Saccharomyces cerevisiae S288C: one gene and its partners. The gene in region 2 interacts genetically with the main gene of each other region. Each region holds a gene or a part of one and is shown on either strand. Other genes may lie near its edges.

Region 1 (6,332 bases), on a different chromosome or scaffold from region 2:
AATTGATCTATCCCGCATTAATTATGTACCCCACGCAAGATGAATTTGATTTTGTAGGTGAAGTAAGTGAGTTAACTACTGTGCAAGAACTTGTTGACCTAGTTTTGGAAGGGCCGCAAGAACGCTTCAAAAAAGAAGGTAAGGAAAACTTCACACCAAAGAAAGTGTTGGTGTTCATGGAAACAAAGGCAGGTGGTTTGATTAAAGCTGGTAAGAAACTGACATTTCACGATATCTTGAAGAAAGAGTCGCCAGATGTACCATTGTTCGATAACGCTTTGAAAATATATATTGTGCCAAAGGTAGAAAGTGAAGGGTGGATTTCCAAGTGGGATAAGCAAAAAGCCTTAGAAAGAAGATCTGTGTGAAGTGTCAAATAGTTAAAAATATGTAACGCAAAGTTGTAGATAGAAATAACAAAGCAAGAAGGAAAAGTAAAGAAAGTGAACGATATACGTAATGCAGGGGGAATACCAGAGTATTTAAAGTGTACTTGATTTAATGTTAACCAGTTTGAATTTTTCTTTTCTGGGGTAATCGAATTCAAGACCTTTTGGGCACAATTTGACGCGGTTTCAACCTGTTTAGCCTAGGATTTGGGAAAATTTCATCGGTGTGCAAAGGCGGAATTGGTCCAAAGATAGTTTGTGGATTTATATCTTGCTGTCTTATCAATTGCTCTTGCAAATACGGGGATTTAGCCCATGCCGCTAAAGTTACGCTAGCCTCATCTTCAGAATCAGTATTTATCTCTGGTAAAGAATCATTGACAGAGGCTATCTTTGGGGTCACATTTCCGATTATTTCTCGATGGTCAACTGTATTTATTGTGGCCAATATATTGTCGGTACTAAATGCAGTATTTTTGTTGATGGTATCTCGCACATGATTATCGAAAGGAGCCAAAGATTCTTTTAGACGTATGTCCTTGTAGTCATTACTAAAGCTTGTTTGCTTTTTTAGATCTTGTTCCAAATGCGACATCCTTTTTTGTTTCTCTTGTTTACGCCGATGATGTTCCTGTTGAGACCTCATAATTCCTGATAACCTTTTATCAAACTTTTTTTTTAAGTCATCTCGTTCTGCCTCTGCTGGTGGAAGTAATTGAAGGTTTGTAAGCCGATAATTTTTGGATTTACGAGACTCTGGCTTGGAGATGTCAGCAATATTCGGAGAAAGTTTTCTTAATGTTTTCTCTTTAATTTTCAAACGATGTGGCGTTTGCGACGTTGTTAAATTTTTATTTTTATTAGGCGAAATAGACGCTTTTGTTGGTCTCAAATAACCTCTTACAGGGCTTTGGTAATAATTTTTAACTTCTTTAGATGGCGAGCTTGAATCGACACTTATTTTTGTTGGAGAAATACTGTGCGGTCTTGAACCAGTTTTATGAACATCACTAGAGTGTTTGGACTTCTTTTTCTGTTCTGCAATGATTGCTAGCTTTTTGTGTGTCGTTAGCTTCAAAGAAGTCTTATCAAACCTCGGAATAGAGGATTTTCGAGAGTTTTTTCCTTTGGGTGAATTATTTTTGGTTATTTTATTTTTTACTGAGAATATATCTCTTAACGCTTCTTGCATATCAGTATCCGTGGAGTTTATTGACTTAAACTTTTGAGAAACTTTTTTCATGGGGGAGCCTGTTAAATCGATTGATGAAGAGGAGTATTTGTGACCAACGTTTCCACGGGAAATTTTGTTTTCAAATGATTTTGTTGGAATAGATGATAGCCTATCGAAAACACTGGATGCTTTTGTAGATCCCGCGGTATCACTGTTTTCCACAGCTCTTATAGCAGGACTATTTATCGTAGATTTTTTTTTAAATGCGATTGGTGATTCCTTTACTGTTCGTACTTTTGGTATTGATCCTGAAGATTTTGTTGGTGGAATGTGTTGAATAATAAGAGGATCTTTATTCGGCAGTGGAACAAACATATTCGACCTTCTTTGAGATCTCGCTATCCCAGAATTCGGTGGTGGTTTCACCTTTACTGATTCAGCTTTCTTTAAAGCTTGAAGTATAGGTTCATTCTCCATTTCTTCCTTAGCCGCCCATGTTTGATTATCGAAGCGTTTTGTATTAATCGGAGACTCCGAAGTCTTGGAGGATTCTCTTAGAACCTTTTCAACTTTGTAAGGTGACCATGGTGAGGATTTTTCGCTTTCATTGGCGTCGACTTTAACGCTATTCAATGGCTCAACCGGGCTTTTATTGGTATCATGTATACTAAATCTATTCATTCCTTCGGTGACTTCCTTCCTGCGGAGTGATTTAGGCGTGATACTTTTATCGTTATGTAATCCATTTCTGGGTGTCTTAGTAACGTCTTTTGCGGCATCATTCTGGGAGTTAGAAAGTTCATATTCTCCTTTCATTTTAGGAAATTCGACATCCATTTTGTTATGCGTATTTTCGGGGCTAATTAAAGACTCTTCCATCTTTTTGTCTTCATACTTGAGTGTATTCATATAAACATTATTTCTTAACCATTCACTACTTTCGTACAATCGTTGATTTATTTCTGAATGTGCATCTGTTGTTAGATTATTTAGATCATCGAGGGTTTCTATGATTGAACGGGTAGAGCCTGGCTTCCTTTGAGTTTTCTTCCTAGCTGCTTTGATTGCCCAGTCCATTGTTTAAATCTTCGGGCTCTTTCAAAGTCCGTCAGTTGAGGAGATACTTTGAAACGTTTTGTTTGTATCATTGGCAATACTTGAAACGAGTTTTTGTTTGTTTTCTTTTTTTAGTTAATTCGCGAAATTTAAAATATGAAGATCGGTTTCAGAACAGAATGGATCAGGCTTTTCCGCGTATAAGAAATAATAACACTGACATAACGCTATAACGAAACAGCGTAACAAAATACTCTTTACATGGTTTATTTTTATATATTCATTTAACATTATCAAAACTAACATTAAGTCCTTTATTTATCAAAACAAACGAAAAAAAAAAATGCGAGACAAATGATCCAGTCATTTATTGTCAATATCTAAGTCAATTAGTGGTTGCAATATGTCTCCAGTTTCCACTTTATGAGCAAAAATTTTGCCCTCAATATTTATCTGATTTTTTTCAGCGAATTCTTTCAAACTCCCGAATCTACCGCTTGCGTTTCTTCTTAATTGTTCATTGGTATTCATGATTGTGTTTTTCGGGGACATTTGGTGGGTATATGAAGTATCCGGTGAAGAATGATATTCTTTGTCCAAGAAAGAACTTGCCAATGAAGTTTTTCTTGAATTGACGCCTATGCTTGAATTAGAATCGTACCCGTCAATGAAATTTGGCTTACAAGACCTGCTGAATGAGATTGCATGACTTTTTCTGTGGTAACTTTTCCTTCGCCCTGAAGGCTTTGTAAGTTCGTGTGATAATGAACGTGAATGCGAATGTGATGATAATTCATTACTTTCTACCCTTAAAGGTGATACCGCATTAGGCTTTCTTGGACATATGGAGGAATTTCTCCTCGTTTTCACACCATCCTTGTCTCCAGGGAAAGAGTAGGTCTTCAGCTTGTTGAACAGAGCTTCGCCTTGAGACTCTTCAAAATAAAAGCTCTTTTCGTACTCATGGGGTTGTTTGCTGCTATCGAACTGAGATTCTGTTGAAGAGAGAGAGCTGAAACGTCCATAGAGTGGGCTGCCAAGTGATTTAATGGATGTACTAGATTGACTGCCCGTAGTAGGAAAACTAAATGTGCTTATTCTTTCTCTTTCTTTTTGCTCAAATTTGCCCATATCTTGCTGGAAAGGGAAACTTCAGTGAAGTAATAACGAAGGTGGTGTAGAGTATAAATTTTTATTAAGTATGCGCTTTGACGTTCACATATTTGTAAAAGATTTATTTGAGAAGATAGAATGGGTCTCATTTATTTATACTTAAATGCTTCTTTGGATGTCAAGCTTTCTTGATGCCGGACTTGCAGTCGAAGGGCTCTTTCCCAACAGATATGTAACCAAATGCGTCGAATAGAAAAAGAAAGTCTTCCAAGGAAAGTTTATTACGAGGGGTTTTGTGCATTAACGTGGCATATAATTAGGTATAAACTCAAGGTTGGCTTAAGATTAGCGAAACAAAAGTATAAACGACCCAAAATTGGAGTGGATGTGTTCTTTAACACATAAACTGTCGTACAAAAAAAAAAGAAACAAAGAGCAGTTGAAAGAACATCAAGATCATAAGGACCCCCATATCGTGATAATCATTGATGACCAAATCGTGAACTCCCTGCGCCTATGCCGTGCCATAGCAAATAAAGTACTGGGCTGGATTGTTAATGACTTGCATATTAACGACAGGTAAACGGTACCCTATTTTTCTTTTTTACGTGCTACGGACGAAAAGTGAGGGTGATTAACGCTTCAAATAAGAAACGACGGCTAGCAGGGTCTAGATGCGTGAGATGAGATAAGGAAAAGAGCTCTGTGTCCCAGGTAATAATCCCTGGAGAGATATAATCTTCCCTACAACTTGATTGCATATTAACGCTCCCAAGTTGTGGCCATTGAAGAGCTCTACAGCAATGTCCCGACGAACGGAAATAACCCTCTTTTTCATGATATTTTCGGAGTTATCTCCACTGTCAACAACTATTCTCGAATATAACAGAATGAAAGGGATCACGTACGCTTGTTATATTGCTGTCGTTCTCCGTTCGCAATCCCATTATATGCGAGGGGCAAAAGAAGAGACGGCCGGTAACTCATTTTTTGGTGTGTGAGAATTGCGGAAGCTTCGTTCTCCCACCTTTTTTCGCTGTGTTTTTCTTGTCCTCAGCACCGGCTGGTCAAGCCGGTGCTGAACGGCCGGAGAGAAATATAAACGGATGAAAACGTGTTAATAATTGCATCAGTAGTAGGTGGCGGGGTTGTCTCATTTTTGTTATGGCGTAAGGTGAAAAATTGTAAAGGATTGGTTCGGTTGGGTTGGCGACAATTAATTATGGGATAAAAAATTGCTTAATCTTTATTGGAGCAATTACCTGCATAGGCACTCATAGGCCACAAGGGTTTGATGGCGGAAGGATGTTATACCTACGATACTACCATACATGTGATATGTCACTTTCTAGTCCGAAGCGTGGAACATATTATCTTGTTTGACGTTGTGGGTGTTAACCGTAATTGTCTGGGTACGCCGAAGGCACGGAGACCATGTTAAAATATGTTTCTCTTTTTTGCTCATTTTTTTCTATTTTTTGCTGCGCATTGCCCGAAGCTTTTCTTAGTGGTAGTCTGCTCTCGCGCTCTTTGTTACACTCGCAAAATTTTTTTGCTGGGCAAAATAAAGCACTCTCCGGCCATTACTGGCTGTCGTCCGCCAGGATTTTCATTAACTTGCAGAAGTAAACAAACAAAACACAATTATGACACCGTGGAAGTTTCCTAAATGGTAACAAAAAGCTTAATTGAAAGAAAGAATTTCCTTCAACTTCGGTTTCCTGGTTCCGCTATTTCTCGCTTGTTTCTTCTATTGGACTTAGGATGTCTCATCAATCATCTTATTCCTGCTGGTGTTTTTTGTATCGCCTTGCCTTGGAGTGTTTATGCTTGTCCTTTGTTCAGTAACCATTCTTCAAGTTTGTTTCAAGTAGTAGGATACCTTCAGATATACGAAAGAAAGGGAGTATAGTTGTGGATATATATATATATAGCAACCCTTCTTTATAAGGGTCCTATAGACTATACTCTTCACACTTTAAAGTACGGAATTAAGGCCCAAGGGAACTAACAAAAACGTTCAAAAAGTTTTAAAACTATATGTGTTAACTGTACAAAAATAACTTATTTATCATATCATTTTTTTCTCTGTTTATTTCTTCTAGAACTTATACCTGTCTTTTCCTTTTATTCTTTGAATTTGGTTTAATATCCCTTTTTGGTTTAATATCCATCCATTCCTTTCACTTAGAACTAATAATTCCCTTCGTTTGATAATTTATCATTTTCCTTTTCTGTTAGTAAAGTACCCATTAAATGAAACTAGAACGCGTAAGCAGCAATGGCTCCTTCAAAAGAGGTAGAGATATCCAGTCACTTGAATCTCCGTGTACTAGACCGCTGAAAAAAATGTCACCTAGTCCATCTTTCACATCTCTTAAAATGGAGAAGCCTTTCAAAGATATTGTAAGGAAGTATGGAGGTCATCTTCATCAAAGTAGTTACAATCCCGGCTCAAGCAAAGTGGAGTTAGTAAGACCAGATTTGTCTTTAAAAACAGATCAAAGTTTTCTTCAAAGTAGTGTGCAAACTACGCCTAATAAGAAAAGCTGCAATGAGTATCTTTCAACTCCAGAGGCCACACCATTAAAAAATACGGC
Region 2 (9,088 bases):
ATGTGCTTTCGAATCCATCAAATCAAAACATATGTACGAGTGTCACCCGAAGATCACCTGTGTTTGCCCTAAACATGCTACCCTCGGAAATATTACACTTAATATTAGATAAACTTAACCAAAAATATGATATTGTAAAATTCCTTACCGTTTCCAAACTCTGGGCTGAAATAATTGTGAAGATACTTTATTACAGACCGCACATCAACAAAAAGAGTCAATTAGACTTGTTTTTAAGGACTATGAAGTTAACTTCTGAAGAAACTGTATTCAACTATCGTTTAATGATCAAAAGATTAAATTTTTCATTTGTTGGTGACTACATGCACGATACAGAGCTTAACTATTTTGTCGGATGTAAGAATTTGGAGCGACTAACTTTAGTATTTTGCAAGCATATAACCAGTGTTCCAATATCGGCTGTTTTGAGAGGATGTAAATTTCTCCAAAGTGTGGATATCACTGGAATAAGAGACGTTTCCGATGACGTATTTGATACCTTAGCGACATATTGTCCCAGAGTACAGGGCTTTTATGTTCCTCAGGCAAGGAATGTAACATTCGATTCACTGCGGAATTTCATAGTCCATTCCCCGATGTTGAAAAGAATAAAAATCACAGCAAACAATAACATGAATGACGAATTAGTAGAACTATTAGCCAACAAATGCCCTTTGCTTGTAGAGGTCGATATAACATTAAGTCCAAATGTCACTGATTCTAGTTTGTTAAAACTCCTCACTAGGTTAGTTCAGCTGAGGGAATTCAGAATAACTCATAATACGAATATTACGGATAATCTTTTCCAGGAGCTTTCTAAAGTAGTTGACGATATGCCCTCTTTAAGATTGATTGATCTTTCTGGATGTGAAAATATTACAGATAAAACTATAGAAAGTATAGTCAATTTAGCCCCTAAATTACGTAATGTTTTTCTAGGCAAGTGTAGCCGAATTACAGATGCATCGTTGTTCCAATTATCGAAGCTGGGCAAAAACTTGCAAACAGTGCATTTTGGGCACTGTTTCAATATAACTGATAACGGGGTAAGAGCACTCTTTCATTCATGTACAAGAATACAGTATGTGGACTTTGCGTGCTGTACGAATTTAACCAATAGAACTCTTTATGAACTAGCAGACTTACCAAAATTAAAGAGAATTGGCCTTGTCAAATGTACGCAAATGACTGACGAGGGTTTGTTGAATATGGTTTCCTTGCGAGGCCGAAATGATACTTTAGAAAGGGTACATTTATCTTACTGTTCTAATTTAACAATATATCCGATATATGAGCTTCTAATGTCTTGCCCAAGGCTCTCACATTTGTCTTTGACTGCTGTTCCGTCATTTTTACGCCCCGATATAACGATGTATTGCAGGCCTGCACCCTCAGACTTTAGTGAAAATCAACGTCAAATATTCTGCGTATTTTCAGGGAAAGGTGTTCATAAACTTCGCCATTATTTAGTAAATTTAACGTCGCCCGCTTTTGGACCACATGTCGATGTAAATGATGTTTTGACAAAATATATTAGATCCAAGAATTTGATATTTAACGGTGAAACACTTGAAGATGCTCTTAGGAGAATCATAACTGATTTAAATCAAGATTCCGCTGCAATTATAGCTGCTACAGGATTAAATCAAATCAACGGTCTAAATAACGATTTTCTTTTCCAGAATATCAATTTTGAACGAATAGATGAAGTATTCAGTTGGTATCTCAATACTTTTGATGGCATTAGGATGAGCTCGGAGGAAGTTAACTCACTATTATTGCAAGTAAACAAGACGTTTTGTGAAGATCCATTTAGTGATGTGGACGATGATCAAGATTATGTCGTAGCACCTGGTGTAAACCGGGAAATTAACAGTGAAATGTGTCATATTGTTAGAAAATTCCATGAGTTAAATGATCATATTGATGATTTCGAGGTGAATGTTGCTAGTTTGGTAAGAGTTCAGTTTCAGTTTACTGGTTTTTTACTTCATGAAATGACTCAAACCTATATGCAAATGATTGAATTAAACAGACAAATTTGTTTAGTACAAAAAACGGTTCAGGAATCGGGCAACATAGATTACCAAAAAGGGCTTTTAATATGGCGACTTTTATTCATTGACAAATTCATTATGGTGGTTCAGAAGTACAAGCTCTCCACCGTTGTTTTGAGACTATATTTAAAAGATAACATAACATTGTTAACCAGACAAAGAGAACTATTAATAGCCCACCAAAGATCAGCATGGAATAACAATAATGACAATGACGCCAACCGGAACGCCAACAACATAGTGAATATTGTATCGGATGCTGGGGCAAACGATACAAGTAACAATGAAACTAACAATGGTAATGATGACAATGAAACAGAAAATCCAAATTTCTGGCGTCAGTTTGGCAATAGAATGCAAATATCACCTGACCAGATGAGGAATCTCCAAATGGGACTTCGTAATCAGAACATGGTTAGGAACAATAACAACAACACAATTGACGAATCAATGCCTGACACTGCCATTGATTCTCAAATGGATGAAGCATCAGGAACGCCCGATGAAGATATGTTATAATTGTATTTCATTGAATACTTACTGTCCTACTACACCTTTATTTTCAAAATCCCACTTTTCTTACTTATTTACATATAAATACATAATGCATTCACTTTGAAACTTTTTGCCTTAGCATGTATACGCTATAGACTTGCGGTATCAACGAATATACGTAACGTTGTCACGTCCACAGAAGATGCTATGTCAACAGTTCCCTGCAGATATCTGCGATGCGGCGAAACATTCTATACACAGTTTCAAAACTACAAAAAATACAAACCTTTAGCCTGTTTATCAAATTAGTTAGCTATAAAATGCCCATTTTCTTAGCAATATCGATCAATTGATTGTCATCTTCCAAAGTTTCAATAAAATTTGTGGCAGTATAGTAATCCCTTCTCAATATGTCCAATTTCTTATCACAGTCATCTATAAATTCGCGCTTAATAGATTGCACTTTTAGGTTCACCCAATTGTTGAATGTCATGTCCAACTCTTCTGCAGGCATTTGCTTAATCAAAAAAGCCAGATCACCGTCTTTGTCATTAGCTAGCGTAGCATCATTATTATTTATATATTTTAACAAATCATGGAAGTAATTTTTTACAAGGTGTCTATTTTCATCAATTTTAAACCATTCTGCTGCATTCGGTTCTTTTTCGTTGTTGCCCTCATTAAATGAACTTCCTTTCTTAGAATTATCAGCCAAACTTGTGCTTGTTTCCTTTCTTTGTTCTTCTAAACGTGAATTCCGTGGATATGAAGAGGTTCCAGACACCAAATTCCTTGCAACTGATGGGACTGGCTCAAATTCGGGTTTAATAACCTTTTTTATTTCTACAGTTGATGAATCTATAGGTATATCCAATTCCTTCCCAGAAAACTCTTCATCAAATAATTTTCTTGACTTGTTTTCTTGAGATGCGATCGGGGTTCCAGTCTCAAAAAGTAACATTTCATTATTTGGGGTCTCATTCTTCACAGACACATCTTCCAGTATTTTTATAGTTTCCTGCTTATTAGTAAAATACTTACCATCGTCAGTTTCTTTTTTGAGGCCAGAAAGCTCTTTGACTGCATGCAAACTGCGTGTGAGATTAATTTTAGGGCTCGCTACCGGCGTTGAAATAACGCTTGAGCTTTTTGATGATTGCTCAGATTGTGATGATGGTGAAAAATCGGACGCCGAAAAATTTAGATCTATATTGATGTTATCTAATTTTCTTTCTGTTGGAACAACTTTTCCACTTATTGATAGGCTTCTTGGTTCTTGCAAGTTTTTCCTTGGTTTAGGATGAATATCAGCGGGAATGCTGGATGTTTTGCTATTGCCTCTCCTTTGTTCCTCTTTGGGTATTGCGGTAATATTACTGGAATTATCACCACTTTTATTAGAATGTAATATATCTGGAGATTGCCGTACAGTTGAATCTTTTTGATGTCGAAATTCCCCGTTTTGTGCTTCCCTCTTTTCAGAGTTATCTCTAATTAACTCATGTGTCTTTGGAACTTCTGGGGATCCACCATTGGGGACCTTATCTCTGTCGATATCACCCAAATTCTGATCTACAATTTGCGTTCTTATAAGAATATTAGTACTACTGTCTCTACCTGTGAGTTTCACTTCACTGAAATTTAAATCTTCTTCAGAATTAACAGAAAATTTTTCGTGTTTAGAAGACGCTCCTTTTGTGTCTGTATTTATGCCAGTATCATCTTCTCGTATAACATTGTCATTATCTGAATCTATACCTTTGAGCAAATGTGATGAGGTTGGTATAGGTATGTCAAATGTGTTATGTCCTTGGTTACTGAAACTGAATTCATCTGTGCTGTCATCTAAAATAGCATTCTTTCTCCCTACATCTCTATTTTTTATGATATGGCTTGTAAAATCTATAACCAAATCCTTATCTTTGTTGTCTCCGTTGGCAGAATTATTATTAAGGGAGTGTTCGCTATCTTCCTCATCAAAGATTTTTCTAGGCGATATTCTCTTAAACTTTCTTTTCTTTTTTATAGGTGACGATGATTGGGTTAGCTGGACATTTGGACGTTTGATTTCTTTTGCAGTTGGTGTCGAAATAACTTCTTTCTTATCTGCTAAAACATCACGATTTATATTGCCCTCTTCTAATGTAGTGCTTCCATTTTCCATGTTGATTTGTTCTTTTTCTTCCACACTATTACGTTTTACATTTTCGCCTTGTGCTCCATCAAGCACACTTATATTATGTTGAATAACAGATATATCTGTCTTCTCATTATAATCGTCAAGTTGAGGACCAGTACTAGATGGAGGTGACTCAAATAAAGGACACTGCCTTTGAGAAGCGGTTTTCGTGTTGATCACTTCTCTTTTCCCATTTTCGCCTAAAGTTGGAGAGACTTCGCAATTTTTCGTGATACTGTCATTGTCATTTTTTATTCTCTCAAATCGATTACGTGTCTGAAAGAAATAACAGTTCCCATTTTGAGAAACCTTATAATGTCGGCTCATCGGATCGTCATTTATTGACCAACCTTGTAACAACTGTTTGCAATAAATACAATAACAGGTATCGTTCATAAGTGTTTTATCCATGCTTGGATCGCCTAAGCCTTCTATGCTGGAGTCGTATCGCATGAGTCCTGCATTCACCATCTTTTCTATACCCAGCGGATGTTCATTTTGAGAACCACTGTGAGGCCAGTTATCTTGAAAAGTAAATTTTCTTAGGTTTATCACGTTTTCATCATCTGGATTGCTGAAGTACTTGTCATTTTTCCAGTCCGAAACCCCCATATGGAAGCTATAGTCCGTCAATAGCTTATTGCGCAAGTAAATAAGGAGGCAAACTTGTTTGTTATCAGTAACAGTCAGATGTTGCCTCATTATATTGCTTAGAGTCTCAAGAACATCTTTTCTTTTGGATCTGCAGTCTCTCACATTGTATGTTTGACGATGACAATAGCAACATCTTACAGAGTCTTTTTTCAGTTTAGATGTCTTAGGATCGATCACTGGATCAAAGTAAAATCCAAGCTTGGCCATTGCCTGATACGGAATAACTTTAAAACTCCACTTTAACTTTTTTTTTTCAAGTGCAACACCATCTTGGAAAGTCCTTAACCTATTCTCCAGTTTGGTCATGCTATATCGCTTCTCCATTTTATCTATTTGACCATCCATAATCCCATGAGGTATAAACAACCGATGTGTCCTCGAATGTTGCACGCCCAGAGAACTTTAGCTAGGCTTTCAACACTAATATGAAACCTCAATCAATCTGAAAGAACTATAGGACACACTATAACTAAAAGTGCTTGATGACCTTGACCGATGTGTGAAATGGGTATGTATTGCAATATTATACTAAACTGTTAATCTTCGTATCGCGTGATGTGTTAGAAGCGTTGACTAGTGAAGTTAAGTAAAGAGATTTGGATCGTTAATGAAATAAATAACTATGTATGAATGAAAGGCATTGGATCGCATTGGAACGGAGAAAATTATAGAAAGCAGTAGATAAAACAATGTTGAAGGATTTGGTTAGAGAAAAGCTTTTGACAATTATGAATACCAAAGCGTATACTCAATTTAATCCAGAACAATTACTGCAACTAGAAAATGAAATGAAAATTTACATGAAAAGCGGAGACTCTGCACTAACAGAAGGAAACTATTTCTTCTTGATGGAAATGCTTTTCTATGTTTTGGTGTACCGAAACCAAGACGTTGATGCGCAAGTTGTTTATAATACATTAAGAGATCGTCTTGGTGAAAATTCGTATAAAATGGTAATCATGAAAGCCACTTTATTGCAGATAAACGGAAATGATAAAGGCGCTATTGAATATCTGGAAAATTTGTTGAATGATGATCTGGAGTATGAAACGGACTTCGTTACTTATGTCTCTATTGCAAAGAAATTGATAGCTATCAAGACAACTTCCAAGAACTTGAGCCAAGAAAGTGTTCTTAAAGAAGTGGTAGCTCTTACAGATAAATTCCCGCTTGATGCAGAATTGTGGTGGTATGCCAGCGAGATTTATTTCGAAATGGGCCAATTTGAAAAAGCCTGTTATTGTTTGGAACAGGTCCTATGTATTACACCATTCAATTACGCTTGTTTTGGTAGGCTAAGTGAGACTCTGTATTATGAGGCTCTACGTAGCAAGAAACAAACCAAGACCGAGCTCTTGGAAAAGGCATTAAAGAATGCTTTGAGGAGCGTTGAACTTAGCGAACTATACCTAAAAGGGTGGGCATTGGTTAACATCATTTCTCGCGAACTGGGACGTAATAAACAAAATGACTTGATCAAACTATCTGCATCGAAGCTAAAGGAAATTTCTGCGAAGTCTAACAATAAAGATAAGATTACCGCTGAATTAATTTTGAATAAGATATGAACGGAGCCAAAATTAGAAGAAAAAAAAAGATAGGGTGAGAGAGGATATGAAAAAGCATGTATATTTTTTTTTTTTTTGGATTCTATTACTATCATTACATAAGCGTACAACAAACACTATTTGAGTTTGACATTTGGCTATTTTTTTGAGCATTTTTCAAACCCTCTATAAAATGATTTGATCCTGCTACGGGGTAGCCCCATAGTTCTGGTAATGTATAATCTTTTGTATTCGAGGTATAGTTTATTATTGTAAGACATGCATTTGAAGCAGTAATTCTTTCACGGCTGAGTTCTTTCCTCAGTTTATTGTTAAGTTCGTTGATTCTTTTTAACTTCAATTGTTTTATCTTTAAGGAAAGCTGTTGCTGTTGCTGTTGCTGTTCCTGAGGTTGTTGTAAGCGTGGAGAGTTTTGAACTGATGTCATTCTTAGAATTATTGAGAACGTTTGCGATTGCTACTATCCTAAAATTGACAGGTGCTGTCACAAAACATTTCTGTTCTCCTTGTTAAATATTGCATCAAACATTTAGAGCCTGAAACAAAAATCAACATGAAAACCGGGTAACAGGGAGACATTCACTCATCACATTGACAAATCATATTATATAGTGAAAAGCGTACGTAAATTTTGACTATAAAGCAAGATTTCAAGAGTTGCAGATGATATTAAGACTGTCATCAAGCCGGAAGAGAAGCTAGTACGAATATTTCTTGTCGTTTTTAATTTCTCTCTTTATACTCGTTCCAAAATTGTACGATGGCTGCAGTAAAACTGGTAATCTAGGATCACTACTGAGCATATTAGCATTAACGAATATTTCACTACCGAAATGCATATACTCTATTAGTTTTTTTTTTGTAAAGGAAAGTTATCAACATTCATTTTGACCCAATAAGTATTCAGAGGTTAATATTTTAGACGTGTCGCGCCCTACGGGGTTGATGAAAAGGTGGTATTTAACGAGAAGGGGGAGCAGATCACATGAAGTTATTAGGTAACAGCGGGAGACAAGACAGAAACGAAGTTTGAGAGAAAGGAACATCAGATCACACTATGGAACATCCAGCATATACATTGAGTCTTTTGACTACAGCCGGTGGCCTTATGGGATACTACCGTAAGGGCTCCATTCCATCTCTAGTATCTGGCTTAGTATTCGGTAGTGTATATGGGATTGCCGGTTACTTGCTACATATGAATAGAGATGGTGGGCTCGAAATGGCATTGGGTGCATCGACCTTACTACTTGGTGCTGGTGTCATAAGAGGCATGCCTTCCAGGTTCACTAAACCTGTCCCTGTCGTTTTGACAGCTTTGGGTGGGCTCGGCAGTTACTACTATTATAACAAATACAAGGAATTTTACCCTTAGAGAAGGAAGAAGACGCACGATATATATACGACCCTATATATATATATAATATGATATTCTTTTATGAACAAACTTTCTTTTTTTTTTCTTCGTTCAATTATTGACTATTTTTCTATCATTTGCTATGGGGAAAGGGCTCCTTCTTACTGAAAACGATGCAGCGGTTGGAGTGAGAAAGATAAGCACGCAAAAGCCCACTTGCTATAGCACTTGCTAGACGGCATTCTAGGGCATCCAACTGCTCCTCTTCGTCCTCATTGGCAGAACTATCGTGTTGTTTTGTTGCCAGAAGAATTTTCAAGGGCATGATACTTTTCCGATCATTCCCCCATTGCCAACATCGTTGTACCAACCGAGTGAAGACCACCTCTCGAAGTAATGTGATGACGACATGCAATCCTTGCGAAAGGAAAAATCTTTCATGGCTTGCTGCGGTAGCCTCGTACAGTGACAGGTTCCCTGAGATTACGCTACGCACTAATGTCGGATAAACTTGACTTAAGCGCTTACTCCTAGTAATTACTCCGGCGATTACTGGATGATCCCAGTGAGGGTACAACCTTTTAGTTAAAAGAGCAAGCGGAACCAGCAGTATCATTATCTTTTCCATTTGGCCCTGTAAGACGAACTTGCCGGTAGATTCCACATATAGCATTGGACATTGCAATAATGCTTCATTTAAATGGAAGAACCCGCGTTCGTGATCGTTTTCCAGACATCCGTAGTATTGACCTAGATAATAATTATACAACACCACTTG
Region 3 (5,603 bases), 520 kb from region 2:
GCATAAAAAAATTATGTGTGCATTGTGCCTAATGGATGCCGACAGCTGTTGAAACATCGTTTTCCCCTTTTTCTTCGAGTTCCTTCATTATTATAGAAGGCATATGTCACACCGTGCCAATTTATTTGTTTGCATTTTTTTTTTTTCACCTTTCCGACAGGCGCCATTGTTATCACATTAGCAGAGTGAATTGGTTGCGATTTGAAAGAGAAAATGTATCAAAAACAAACAATTGTACCCCACCTCCCCCTAACAATCATCCATTCTGCATCCAGTAGCTAATGATAGTAAAATATTTGTACAAATTACGTTTTATTGTGTCTTTTTTGCAATTTCTTTGAATGCAATGTTGCGTATATCATTGCATCTCAGCCAAACGGTTTAACCGTTTCCAGAAAAAAAAAGTCTATAATATGCTATGCTGTTACAACTATAATAGAATTTTTATATAGTGATATGCTTTTCTATAAAAAAAGGAATGTGAAAAATGAGGGATGCAAGTGGAACTGTAAAAAAAAAAGAAAAAATAAATCTATTAGCTGACTAGTGAAGGAAAGGTTTCAAAATTGAAATTTTGGTCATCTCATCATAAAATTCTCGCATGTCGAGATCAACATCAATCTTATCAACAAATCTCTTGGTTTTCCCTTTACACTTTGTCTTTTTGATTGAAACCAGCCCACAAGTTTCTAAAATTGTACAGATTTCCAAAAATTCATTTCTCTGCAATGGTGCTAAAGTATCAGTTTTTGTTATCGCTTTGATATAATGATCAAACGATTCGTCGATTGTAGCATCGGAATTTAGCTTCAGTGATTGAATTATGGTGCAAAGAATTAATTTTTGCTGGATGTTTAGTTTGGCTATCCTCGTTCTCGTAGAATTATTGTTCACGAATTTTGAGAAGACCTTGGCTATGTAGTTCAAGCCTATTTTACCTTGTGGTTCTGGATACGATTTCTTTACCGGAGAAGTAGTTGGCGTCAAAGGAACTTGCGCAGAGTTCAATGATCCTCTTGTTGGTGAAAGCAGAAACCGCTTTTCTAACTCATAGATTTCGATACTTCCCCTTAAGACATCAAAAAGTTTTCGAAGGTCACCCGTATTTCCAGCACACTTCTTTGCTGCGAATTTGATGGCCATCGGTTGGAAGATAATAGTGGGCAGACTACTCATTTTTTGAATGACGATTTCATACATTTGCTCAGCAGTGTATGGCTGAAAAACTATAGTTTGCGGTAACAACCCTCTGTCCAAATTTAACCTGGAAAGAAACCTATCTTTCATATCTAGACTATTAGCCATACCGATTAACACAAAACTCACAGTAGGCAATTTCGCCAAAAGGAATAATTCAAGAATAGTTCTAACTGATTGTGTCTCGCTCGTGTTAGCATGCAATAGCCTGTCCATCTCGTCCAACACAACCACAAACGTAGTTTTCTTATGATAAGGCTCTAAGAACTTCTGTAGATGCTGCATGTTTTTTATTTGCAATGTTGGGCCATTCAGATCTTGGAAGGAATCGAAAATCTTCTGGAAAATGGAGGACGGCTCTCCCAACGATATACAATTAATACTGGTTACCGCCACGGATTCTAGCCTTCCATCGGGCAATTCAAACCAGGACAAATTCTGCAAGTTCGGATTCGTATGTCTCAGCACGTCCTTCGAGCGTGGCGTGGAGAGCGACAATGGGAGGGACTGGAACTTCTGTCTTATAATCATATCAAGCTGGGCAGTCTTGCCAGTGCCAGGCGGACCCGTGATGTACAGTGAATCGGACCTGTGTTCAGAAATTGCCTTCGCCAAAAAATTCATAACTTGTTCGTACTCTGCTGTTCTTGCTGGCAATGCACCATCGCTGCTATTCAAGTTGACTAGCTCAGATGACTTCTGCAAAAGTGCCTTTGTCCTCAAAAAAATAGACTGTGAGCCAAACTGCAGTTTTTCTGGGGATGATTCTGGTGTAACATCTGTGAACTGCAACTTTTTTCTTTTCAAAGGTCGTGGAGGCGTTGCTGGAGCATCGTCAAATAGATTTCTTCTGATACGCTTAGTTGGAGTTATTGGTATAGCTGACATGAACGTATATGGTACTATTGATGAAAATAGTGCAGCGCAGTGTTCTGAATATTCCAAAATTGTTCTTCCAGAGAATATACCTCTACTATATAAATGAAAAAATAGACTAACTAATACTATTTTTCAAGATGGCGTTATATCTTTTCTGCCAGCCAACTCAATTTCCTAAGTGGGTAATTTCCTGATCTGGAAACTCCGACGCGTGAGGCCTCGCGTCGCTTTCTTCTTTGGGTAATTCAGGGAAAACAAAGGAATGCAGACTAGCAACTAGTTTCAAAACACAACAAATCGCAAGCCAGACATATTTTGTTGAAACTACAGATATTTCTGCTGCTTTTATTACCTTGCACTTACGTGACGTGACGAAATATTAGTTCTAAACTCAGGGTCTTGGCTTACCCGCGTCGGCTTTACGGATTAGTAAACCGAAGGACATAAGGGAAAGAAAGGAAGCCAGAAAAAGAGGTAGAAGTATATAAGACTAACTGATATGAATATTAAGGTAGGATACCTTATCAATTTTAAGGAACTTGAGAGCTAAATTTGCAAGCAAGTATGGTAAGTGATTGGAAAAATTTTTGCCTCGAGAAAGCCTCTAGGTTTCGCCCAACAATAGATAGGCCTTTTTTTAATATTTATTTGTGGGACTATTTCAATCGTGCGGTTGGGTGGGCCACTGCAGGTCGCTTCCAGCCAAAGGATTTTGAGTTTACCGTTGGGAAGCAGCCTTTGAGTGAACCTCGTCCGGTACTGCTTTTTATTGCCATGTATTATGTGGTTATATTTGGCGGGAGGTCCCTGGTAAAGTCATGTAAACCTCTCAAGTTGAGATTTATTTCTCAAGTCCATAACTTGATGTTGACTTCTGTTTCCTTTTTATGGTTGATTTTGATGGTGGAACAGATGCTACCCATAGTGTATCGCCATGGGCTGTATTTTGCTGTTTGTAATGTTGAATCGTGGACGCAACCGATGGAGACATTATATTATCTCAACTATATGACAAAGTTTGTGGAGTTCGCAGACACTGTCTTGATGGTGTTGAAACATAGAAAGTTGACTTTCCTACATACATACCATCATGGTGCTACAGCTTTACTGTGCTATAATCAATTGGTTGGTTACACAGCAGTTACATGGGTTCCTGTCACCTTAAACTTAGCTGTTCACGTTCTTATGTATTGGTATTATTTCCTTTCTGCTAGCGGAATTCGTGTTTGGTGGAAAGCCTGGGTTACAAGACTACAAATTGTGCAGTTCATGCTTGATCTCATTGTCGTTTATTACGTGCTTTATCAGAAGATTGTTGCTGCATATTTCAAAAATGCTTGTACTCCACAGTGTGAGGATTGCTTAGGTTCAATGACGGCTATTGCTGCTGGTGCAGCCATTCTTACATCCTACTTGTTTTTGTTCATCTCTTTCTATATTGAGGTTTACAAACGTGGAAGTGCTAGTGGTAAGAAGAAGATCAACAAAAACAATTAACCAGTCCTTCTGTTTTGTTTTTTTCTGTTTTTCTTCCTATCTTGTATTTGACTTATATATAGACTGTTTTATTCGAAATAATCATTTTGCTTCGTTTATGTAATTTTTGTATTCATAAGCCAGTATTTTCTCTTCTTTTTTATTTTTTTTTTGGAATGTCGCGCCCAGGACAAAAACATATAATTTATTAGCCTAGGCAGTAAATAGTAGGCGAAAAAGATTGAAAAGTATTATACATGTGGAAATTTATTAATTTTATCTATCATATAAACTCATGTCATTATTCTGGCGATTCTAGTGTCACACCATTTTTTAAATTCAAATCAGCGACTTCGTTTTCTGGGCATCCCTCAGATATTTCAGACGTACTCGATGAACCCAAGCCTGAATTATTCTTGTAGACTTTTTTCAACAATCTTAACTTTCTCCTACCTGAATTTGTCCTCTCACCATCATCATTGTCATCTTCGTCGTTGCAGTCCTGAGTTTCAATATGCCCAACCTCCAAACTACGATTACTATATTCAGGGGCCTGCACATCTTCATTACATTCTATCATATCATCAGAAACATCTTCCTCCTCGTCAGTCTTATTAAATTCATACAACTTCATCTGTTCATCGTATATCTTTTTGATACGCTCATCATATCCGTGGCGTGACTTTTGGATTATTTCCTGTAGTTTAGAGCTGCCTAATCCATTGCCATCTTTATGACGGCGAATGTAAAATAGCAAATAAGCCGATCCAGCTATACTATTTTCTGGCGCAGTTTCAGTTACTCGAGAATCATCAAAATAGTACCATTTATTGTCGGCAAAATTCTTTACGTACGCGGTATAGTGCCCACCACCCAAACCACCATAGTGGTTATCTACTGCATACAGGTCATAGATTAAACCTCTGGGATCATCTTTATAGACAACGTACCTCGACAGATCCAAATCTGTAATGGGGAAATTAACCGTGGCATCAATTTTATCGCTAAAAGACCTTTGACTTTCAAACCTTTTAAGGTGAATTAGCAGAATATCTGGTGTATTCCAAAGTTGTATTTGTTTGGTAGCCTGACGATGTTCCTTGCATGTAGGGCAGTACCACGAATCGGTTAATCCTAGTATTTCTGGTTTGGAAAATAATTGGAGACAATCGTCCAAGGTTATGGTTCTTTCCTTAGCGTTAGATCTTTCCAACTTAGCGTTCTCCAACTCTTTGTTAGGCAAAGTAGCTGGATTTTCCCAGTTATATATTTTATCATCGGAAAATGCCTCATTTGAACCCAATTCGCTCCACTCACAAACAATAATATCATTCATAGAAAGAATCGCAAACGGAGTGGAAGTCAAGCTATCCTTAATTTTATCTAACGCCTCTGGCTTATCTGTTAATTCTGGCTCTGTACTTGCATCTTCTTCAACATCATCTGTTAGTTCCATATCTTCATCCCGATCATTAGTATTATTTACATTTTCATTATTTGTTACAGTTTCTTTATTTTCTTCATCATCTCCCGATTGGAAGGGCTTGGAAAAATTCTTTGCTTCACTACCCTCGGTATCTCCCTCATCATCCACTTGCATAAGGACCCCTTCAGCACAATCTACTAAGGATGAATAATTGTAGATATCCTTCACCACATCTTCAAGTTTATCGTCTATATCTGTAGCTTTGTCAAGGTTTAACTGGGAGATAGGGGTCCAGAAATTAGGCCCTGTTCGGTTATTACTAGCAAATTGCTGCTCTTTTTCTACAGACAGAATCTTGATGGAAAAAAAGGATTTATCCTTGTCAGTCACCTTAATAGACGTATACTGTAGTATATCTTTATATTGTTCAAATTCAACATCTGGATATTTTTCTACTAATAATGGAAAAGCATCAGCAAAATCGGTTCGATTTCCTACAGGTTCAGGAAATGGGATATACCCACCACTTAAATGGACAAACCTGTTTTGCAATTTCATTCTTATTGCACCTGGATTATTCAATTCATCTTCTTTTAACGTAATAAAGAAAGGGACTCCAAATAAC

The links.
Region 1: of BIR1 (region 2) and SLI15, a mutation in one rescues a mutant of the other (synthetic rescue), as found in Saccharomyces cerevisiae (2 studies listed by BioGRID, with this or other methods).
Region 3: mutations in BIR1 (region 2) and CDC6 impair growth when combined (synthetic growth defect), as found in Saccharomyces cerevisiae (one study listed by BioGRID).

What each region holds. Positions count from the first base shown.
Region 1 is NC_001134.8:550,561-556,892, forward strand, and holds SLI15 (Sli15p), read right to left. Parts: upstream 2,641-6,332; coding exon 544-2,640; downstream 1-543. Other genes in the region: HSP70/90 family co-chaperone CNS1, read left to right, coding at 1-368; ICS2 (Ics2p), read right to left, coding at 2,983-3,750; AMN1 (Amn1p), read left to right, coding at 5,989-6,332. UniProt on the Saccharomyces cerevisiae protein: Component of the chromosomal passenger complex (CPC), a complex that acts as a key regulator of mitosis. Stimulates IPL1 kinase activity and facilitates its association with the mitotic spindle.
Region 2 is NC_001142.9:584,360-593,447, reverse strand, and holds BIR1 (survivin), read right to left. Parts: upstream 5,731-9,088; coding exon 2,866-5,730; downstream 1-2,865. Other genes in the region: SCF ubiquitin ligase complex subunit GRR1, read left to right, coding at 1-2,576; EMC2 (Emc2p), read left to right, coding at 6,075-6,953; STE18 (Ste18p), read right to left, coding at 7,048-7,380; TMH11 (Tmh11p), read left to right, coding at 8,011-8,328; YJR084W (uncharacterized protein), read right to left, coding at 8,444-9,088. UniProt on the Saccharomyces cerevisiae protein: Component of the chromosomal passenger complex (CPC), a complex that acts as a key regulator of chromosome segregation and cytokinesis.
Region 3 is NC_001142.9:65,820-71,422, reverse strand, and holds CDC6 (AAA family ATPase CDC6), read right to left. Parts: upstream 2,086-5,603; coding exon 544-2,085; downstream 1-543. Other genes in the region: YJL193W (uncharacterized protein), read right to left, coding at 1-57; fatty acid elongase ELO1, read left to right, coding at 2,641-3,573; putative ubiquitin-specific protease UBP12, read right to left, coding at 3,854-5,603. UniProt on the Saccharomyces cerevisiae protein: Plays a crucial role in forming the pre-replicative complexes.